Linked DNA regions of Rattus norvegicus. Each later gene encodes a partner of the first gene's protein in a complex. Links are inferred from orthologs where the notes say so. Each region holds a gene or a part of one and is shown on either strand. Other genes may lie near its edges. The genes, in order: Ap1m1 and Ap1s1.

What was found.
Region 2: the proteins of Ap1m1 (region 1) and Ap1s1 are in contact, whole or in part, in a crystal structure (PDB 1W63), measured with the Mus musculus proteins. The link is inferred for Rattus norvegicus from reciprocal best matches to the Homo sapiens genes AP1M1 and AP1S1. Residues at the interface, in NP_031482.1 of Mus musculus: Lys12, Glu31, Asn186, Asn188, Val189, Leu190, Glu232, Glu234, Asn270, His272, Arg421; in NP_031483.1 of Mus musculus: Lys26, Lys30, Arg33, Glu34, Gln37, Lys43, Glu51, Trp52, Arg53, Asp54.

Annotation. Positions count from the first base shown.
Region 1 is NC_086034.1:17,629,572-17,633,382, reverse strand, and holds part of Ap1m1 (AP-1 complex subunit mu-1), read left to right. Parts: intron 1-2,011; coding exon 2,012-2,168; intron 2,169-3,811. UniProt on the Homo sapiens protein: Subunit of clathrin-associated adaptor protein complex 1 that plays a role in protein sorting in the trans-Golgi network (TGN) and endosomes.
Region 2 is NC_086030.1:25,260,820-25,265,101, forward strand, and holds the start of Ap1s1 (adaptor-related protein complex 1, sigma 1 subunit), read left to right. Parts: upstream 1-1,216; 5' UTR 1,217-1,292; coding exon 1,293-1,295; intron 1,296-4,109; coding exon 4,110-4,282. UniProt on the Homo sapiens protein: Subunit of clathrin-associated adaptor protein complex 1 that plays a role in protein sorting in the late-Golgi/trans-Golgi network (TGN) and/or endosomes.

The DNA.
Region 1 (3,811 bases):
TCCTGCGTTCACATTCTTATCTGCCCTCAGCTGACCACGAATGGTTTTGTGTTTTTTTTTTGTTTTTTTTTTTTTTTTTTTACTAAGTGTGTGGGGAGGCGAGAGGGATACGGGTATGTGCGAACGTGTGCAGGCGTCCCTGGAGGCCAGAAGTAAACATCAGATCCCCTACAGCTAGAGTTACGAGCACTTGTGAGCTACCCAATGTGGAAGCTGGGAACTGAACCTGGGTCCTCTGAAAGAATAGCAGTGCATGGGGTTGGGGATTTAGCTCAGTGGTAGAGCATTTGCCTAGCAAGCCAAGGCCCTGGGTTCGGTCCCCAGCTCTGGAAAAAAAAGAATAGCAGTGCACTTAAGTAACGAGCCATTTCCCAACTCCTGGGATTTATTTATTTGCTTATTTGGTTTTATATACATACATAGTGTGTATCTGTATATGTATGCATATATGTGTGTGTGTGTGTGTGTGTGTGTATGCACATACACACACATAATTTTTATTTTATGGTTGTTAGTATTTGACTGCATGTGTGAGGGTGTCAGAAGCCCTGGAACTGGAGTCGTGGATAGGCGTGCACTTCTATGTGATTCTGGGGATTCTGCAAGAGCAGCCAGTGTTCTTCATTGCTAAGCCATCTCTCCACCTCCTGTTTGTTTTTTGAGACAGGTTTCTCTGTGTAGCCCTGGCTGTCCTGGAACTTGATCTGTAGACCAGGCTGGCCTCAAACTCAGGGATCCACCAGCCTCTGCCTCCTGGGTGCTGCGATTAAAGGCCTGCACTGTCATTCCCAGCAAACCTAGGATTTTTTAAAAAGACAGGGTCTCACTGTGTTCAGTCTGAAACTTACTATGTAAACTTCCTTACCTCTGCTTCCAAGTGCTAGGATTAGAGGTGTCATACCATGCTTGACAAAGTATTTTTAGCAGGGAAACAGTTTGCTATATAAGTGTGAAGAACTGAGTACAGATTCCTAGGACCCACATAATACCAGGAGGGTATGGCAGCCCGTGATCCCAGGAGCCTGCTGGCTAGCTAGATCATCTGAGGTGGCAGCACAAAGAGAGAGGGGTCGGGGAGAGGGAAAGGTGTTGCATTTGAACTGGGTTTGGTATCTCATGCCTATAACCTAACCACTCTGGAGGCAGAAGGACTGCCGTGAGTTTGAGGCTAGCCTGGGCTACATAGTGAAATCATCACGACAAAGCAAAAGCCTCAGGAATGTTTTTTGTCAGAGCAGGCTGTCCTTAGATACCACAGCACTGTATTGGAGGGCCCTCAGATTCTGGAATCCTGGGGTCCTGGAACAGCCAGATTCTCCATACATCTGTTGCAAGACAAGTCCTTTTGTCTCTGGTGTGGCTCTATTTAAGATTCAGCCACTGGGGTGTTCATTTATGTGGACTGGCTCATACCTGTCATCCCAGCACTCAGGAGGTAGCAGCAGGAGAAACAGGAATTCAAGGCTATCCTTGGCTACATAGTGGATTTGAGATGTGCCGAGGCTCCTTGAACCCACTCCCGGCTTCATTCTCCGTTGAGTGCCCATGGACACACAGCTTCTCTGATTCTCTAGGATGAGCCACTGGGTCATACTTAACTCTGGTGTCACTTTCTGAGGAGCCACCAACTTTGGCTATTTCACAGGATGATGGACAGTGGTTCAGACACCATGCAAGGAGGAAGACCAGGGCAGGGCTATTCCTGTACAGGCTTCAGTGGGATCCCATGAACTTGGACTCCTCTGGGATCAGGTGCTCAGGAGAGCCAAGTGTGCCAGCACAGCAAAGACACTGAGAGGGTCTGCATGGAGTGCTCATAGGGCAAGGCTTGGCCCAGTGTCTGAGGGGATCAGTCCCTCCTTTCTCCACCTTCTGCTGAAGGAAGAGCCTTGTGGTGGGACTTCATAGGGTGAAAATCAGACTAGCCTCAAGTTGTGTCCCTTCACAGATGGTCCCCACCCCTACCTCAGACCCTCAGAGGAAGCCACCCCTTCTTTCCTTCCTAATGCAGGTGCTCATCTGCAGGAACTACCGTGGGGATGTGGACATGTCAGAGGTGGAGCACTTCATGCCCATTCTGATGGAGAAGGAGGAGGAGGGCATGCTGTCACCTATCTTGGCCCATGGTGGCGTTCGTTTCATGTGGATTAAGCACAACAACCTGTACCGTATCCCTATGCTGTGGAGTCAGGCCTTGGGGATGACACGCCTGCCCACCAGCACAGAAGAGCTGGGCAGCCAGAGGACACAGGCCTCACACAGAGGACACAGGGAATGCTAAGTATTCCAGAAGCTGCAGCTGTGGGAGGAGGGGAGAGACACAGGGCAAGAGTGGGAGCCAACTGGGCCTGAAGTTGTCCTCTGGAGATGTGTCATGTTAAATGGGGTAGGTCTTTGGATGGGGTGGACTGGCTATAGGTGGCCTTGTGGTCTAGAGATTTCTGGCTGCTGTGTATGGCCACACTGTCAGGAGCAGGAGTGGACAAATGAGGGGAACAGGGTAGGAGTAGGGGTGGGAAGATCTCATGTGCCCTACATCCTCAGCCCTGCTTCAGCCTCAAATCAAGTGTGATGCCAGGTGGAGACCCACCGTGGCTGCACCCACCACTTTGGGCTTTGAGCAGACCTCTGGAGATCTGGCTGTGCAGGAGCTCTTCAGCTGCCAGTCCCCTCGTCAGTAAATGTGTGCATGCGTGTAACCCCTACAGGCACAGATGCCACCTCTTCCCAGGGACATGGTCTTCCCTTGCAGTTCCTGCCCTGCTCTCCCTCCCAGGCATAGGGTTTTTTCCCTGATGTATATTAGCATTTGTGAACTCCCTTGTAGAGTGGGCCTAAAGTCCAATAGAAAGGTGTTGGTGTCACCCATGATATCTGTGCCAGTAGTGCACATGTGGTGTTTGAGCACACTGGGTCCATAGCTGAGCAGGAGTGTTGATAACTGTTCATCAACAGCCCTCACAGCCCTTTCTGGCACTAGGAAAGCCAACCAGCAGGGTGGGAGTTTCCATTTGGTTCCAACTTAATTTCCCCATGTTCTGCAGTCCAAGTGCAGTGTCTTCAACAATAGGCTCTTACCATCCGGTTCTGCTGTACAACAGCAGCAGCGGCCTGCATGGCTCATGGAGCTTCAGGGTGTCCTGCAGCACCTCCCAGGAGATAGTCTGCCCATGGCACAGGGACTTCACCCAATAACCTGATGACCTCCGCGAGTGTCCTTCTCCATCCATGTAGGGTACCAGTTGGATTTAAACTCTTTACCTGTTTAAACAACATTTTGTTTTTTACTTTTTAAAGGCATCATTTGTAGACATATTTTACCTGCATGTTTGCAGGCCAGAAGAAGGCATTGGATCCCCTGGAACTAGAGTTAAAGCCAGTGATGAGCCACCATGTGGGTGCTGGGGATTGAACTTGGGTCTTCTGGAAGAGCAACCTATGCTCTTTACCACTGAGCCATCTCTGTAGCCCTCCACTTTTCCTTTCAATTATTCAAGCCTCAGCTGGGCTGTAAGGTAGGTAGAAGTGCCATTACACCTGGTCGTCTTCATGTTAGTGAAGTGACTGCTATCACTATTATCTCCATGGATGTCCACACATAACGCCTAGCTGGCTGAGACCTTGGTGGTGGCTTCCCCTGCTGCTCACTTGCATGAAATGCTTGTAGCTGTGCTGTGTTTGCACTGGTGAGAGAGAGTTTCTCATGTCTTTCTGATGTCGTACTAAATCTACAGATTGATTTTATGTATGTGTCCATTTGTTCAGGCCATAATTAGTGTTAGGAGAACACGCAAAACTGCAGACTGCGTCA
Region 2 (4,282 bases), on another chromosome or scaffold:
GCGCATTCCTGTTCTGTAGCCCTAAAGCTGGTCACCACCTCTTGCTCCTCCTGCCTCAGCCTCTGCAGAGCTGGGATTAGAGGTATGCCTCACCACACCCAGTTCTCAAAACCCACCCTCCATTTTGGTTTTGGCTTCTTGTTTGCTTGACAGAGCCTCACTGTGTAGTCTAGGCTGGCTGTGGCCTTCTGGCTATGGGTTTACACCACACCCCTTCAATACCTTAAGATTCTCCTCATTCCGTCCCCTTTCTCCTTAATTTACAATTTCCTCCTGCTCTTTATAGTGTCCCCCTTTTCAGCAATTTTTTTTTATCCCTGGTTTCTACATATTTTGTTTGCTTTAAGACAATGCAGCATCTCCAAGTTCTTAATGAATACTTAAGTGTTGTACTGTCTTAGTTTCTTTAAGGTTACATTTAGAAGTATATTTTGCATTGTCTGTGACCATGTGGGGATGTATGCAGGACCAGGGCACTTGCTTGTGCAGATATCAGAGGACAATTTGCAGGAGTCAGTTCATTCTTTCCACCTAGTGGGTTGGGGGGAAACATCTTTACTATCCGAGCCATCATATCTGCACTGTTTGGTGTCACTTTTTTTGTTGCAGACAGGTTCTCTTGTGGCCGTGGGCGGTCTCGACCATGCTATGTAGTTGAGGCTGAACTTGAACTGCTGTTGCTCCTGTCTCTGCCTTCCAAGTGTAGACATCACGTATGTGCTCCTGCCGTGTTTGTTTTGGAGACAGGATCTTGCTCTGGAACTCTGAGCTGTTCTTGAACTCTTTATTCTCCTGGCCTCCCGTCCTGTATTTCCCTCATCCTGCCCACCACCACCCTTTCTTTGACTGATGTTTCCCACACCATTCCTCCCAACTTCTTCGTAAACTCTAAAGATCCTTCATCCACCTCTCACCCTTTTCCCGCCTTTTTCCCCCCCACAAATGCTCCAAAGCTCGAGGCCCTCATTGTCCTCCACTCCCCTTCCCATCCTCCAATCAACCCACCAAGGCAGCCTTGTTACCATGACGACCGGGCTTTTGCAAAGCTGAAGTCAAGGACCTGGTTACCATGGTTTCCGCTTCTCCGCCTCCAGCCCCGCCCGCGCGCCGTATGAGATTGGGGGGGGTGTGCTGCAGCGTTGGCGCCTGCGCAGTGAGACCACGCCTGGAGCCGGCGCGGTCTAGGGGCGGGGCTTCAGGCGGAGAGGGAGGGAAAAGAAAAGAATCCGACTGGGAGTGGAGCTGGCTTCTACGGTGGCCGGAGAGGGACGCACCGGGCCGGAGGCTGCAGGATGGTAGGCTTTGAGGAGAGGGAGGGGACGGGGACCCGAGGGGCGTGGGCTGTACCTGCGAGGGTCCGGAGGGGGGCTGCCCTTTGTGGGAGTCGCCCTGTCTTCTCTGTGGTCCGCTAAGGATCCACTTCCCAGAGCTGCTAGGGAGAGCTGACCTCGGAAGCTGGAAATGGCACTAGGACAGGGGCGGGGAGGAGTCTTGGTTGGGAGAGAGGGGACTAGGGCTGAATGGTGGCGGGACTGTCCGGAGCCTGGAGAAGCGCTCGGGATTCTGGGTTCGGTCCTAGAGATCCTCCCAATCACCGCCGCAGGGAAGACACGAGGTTGGGGCTCCGGGGTCACTCGGGATGGTTGCAGGTTGCCGAATCCCCTTCCCATGAGGCCCACACTGGAGCAGGGCCCATGGAGAGCTCAGTGTGGGAGGGGACAGTTTCCGGGTCTCTGGAGTGAACCTCCTGTCTCGGTTCCTTGACAGAACTCGCTCGGAGTTCTAGCTCAAGTGGGCTCCAGGGTTTGCAGTCAGGGAAGACTCCCTGACTTTGGCAATCCCAGCTCTCCACCCTCTCCGGTGCATTTTCTTTTCCGGAACCCAGGCCTTCCGTCTTCCTGCTGTAGTTGTCACCTCCTTTTCTTAGCTGCACACGGCTCCCTCAGTTCTTCACCTTCCTTATCCCCCACCAACAACACTCCCTAGTTTCTGGGGTTTGTTTCTTTTAACTTAACCTGCTAAACTGGAAGTGTGGCACACACACAGATATCCCAACCCCGGCCATGTTCTCAGAGCTGTTTGCAGGGAATTGAGTTCAGGATATGGAATCCGGAACCTCTGCAACTGGGAAAAACAAAGAAAACAAAAACAACAACAACAAAAAAAAAACAAAAAACAAAAACTAGGTCCATGCGCGAAGCAATGAGGACTCTGCCTGCTATTTATTCCACAGACATTCCCTAGGAGAGCCCTCCTGGGTGACTGGGCCCTGTCTGAGGGACTGAGCAACCAGTCACCTGATGTCTGGGAAGAAAGGTCAGGCCTTATAGTGCACACCTGTAACCTGGCACTCAGGAGCTAGAACCAGGGGGATCAGAAAACCAAGGGTAGCCTTGGCTATCTGGTAATTGAGGTCAGCCTGTGCTACGTGAAACATTGTCTCCAAACAGAAACAGAGAAAAGAGGGCCAGAGAGATGGCTAGGTAGCTGATAACCTGAGGTCATTCTCAGGAACCCACTGGTGGGAGAAGTGAACTGACCTCCACATGTGGGTGGTGGAACCTGGGTGCCCCACATATATATGTAAAATAATATAAAATAACACTTTAAAAAACTGGGAAGAAAGAAAGCCAGTACTTGGAGCTAAATGTGTGGACAGCAAAGGAAAATGGAGGGCAAGATCTGAATATCCCTGTGCCTCGTGCAATCCAATGTATGTACAATTTACAGAGAAGAATGTCAACAAGCATGGGACTGGCACAAGAGGCCATATTGAGTCAGGAACATCTGAAGGCTTATTGCAGGATGGAGTAGCCACCCAACATCTGTGAGACATGGGGTCTAGAAGAACATACATAGAACTGCTGTCTGTTGACATCAGCTCATCAGGAGGCCAGGCATTTTCCCCATGGAAAACAAGGTTAGGAAACAGAAGTTCAGGGGAAAATAGCAGCGCCTAGCATGTTGCAGGTCCTACTGTGTGCCAGGCACCCTCATAAATGAACTCATTTAAGAATTCCTTAAGGGAAGAAGGGTGGAGAGAGAGATGGTTCAGCAATTAAGCACACTTACTGCTCTTCCAGAAGACCAAGGTTCAGTTTCCAGCACCCATGTCAGACAGCTCACAATTTTCTGTAACTCTGGACCCAGCAGATCTGACACCTCTGGTCTCTGTGGGCACTTGCACTCATGTGCACTAACCCGCTATGTAGACACATGCACACTCACACAGAGTTAGAAATAATAAAAAATGGGCTGGAGAGATGGCTCAGTCCTTAAGAGTATGTGTTGCTCTCACAAAGGACCCTCCCATCACCCACCATGGCGGCTCATAACCGTCTATAACTCCGTTTCTGGGGGATTCGACAGGTACGCGTGTGGTGCACATACACATGTGCACATAAATATCATACACATACCACAAATCTTTAATAACAATAAGTCCTAGAAGACCTCTATAAAAAAGTGTCATTTCCATCTTGTGGATAAGCAAACCGAGGTTCAAAGGCTGCTTGATACTACTGAAGGGCAGTCAGACAGCTCAGTGGGTAAAGGCACCTTCTGCCAAGCCTGAGTGTCAGAGTTTGATCCCTGGAGCTCACACAGTAGACACAGACAACCAGCTCCCCAAAGCCGTCCTCTTACCTATACACACACACAAGTAAGTGTGATAAAAATGCTTTTACGTTTATTTTATCATGTGTGTGGGTTTGTGCTCGCACAGCATGAATGTGGAGAGAAGACAGCTTGTGGGAGTTGGTTCTCTCCTGTAATGTGGGTCACAGGTATTGAGCTCAGGCCACCGGGCTTGGAACCAAGCACCTTAACTGATTTAGCCATCTTGCTGGCCCAGTGTAAAGTAGTTTGCCTGAGGCTGTACTCAAGCTAGTAGAGCCAGTATTTGAACCCAAATCACAGGCATAAAAATCTTTGACTTCCCCCCCAGGTACGACACTCCTTGTAGGGATAGCACCCAGTATTGACAGCTAGGACAGGAGTTTTGAAGGAGTTATCGATGTACAGCCTGGAGTCTGGGGCTGTGTTTGTGTAAGAAAACAGGCTCCACCCCCCTTCTCTGCCCCTCAGCACCGGTCCTTCTTCCCTTGCAGATGCGATTCATGCTACTGTTCAGCCGGCAGGGAAAACTTCGGCTACAAAAATGGTACCTGGCCACCTCAGACAAGGAGAGGAAGAAAATGGTCCGAGAGCTCATGCAGGTCGTTCTGGCTCGAAAGCCCAAAATGTGCAGCTTCCTGGAGTGGAGGGACCTCAAAGTTGTCTA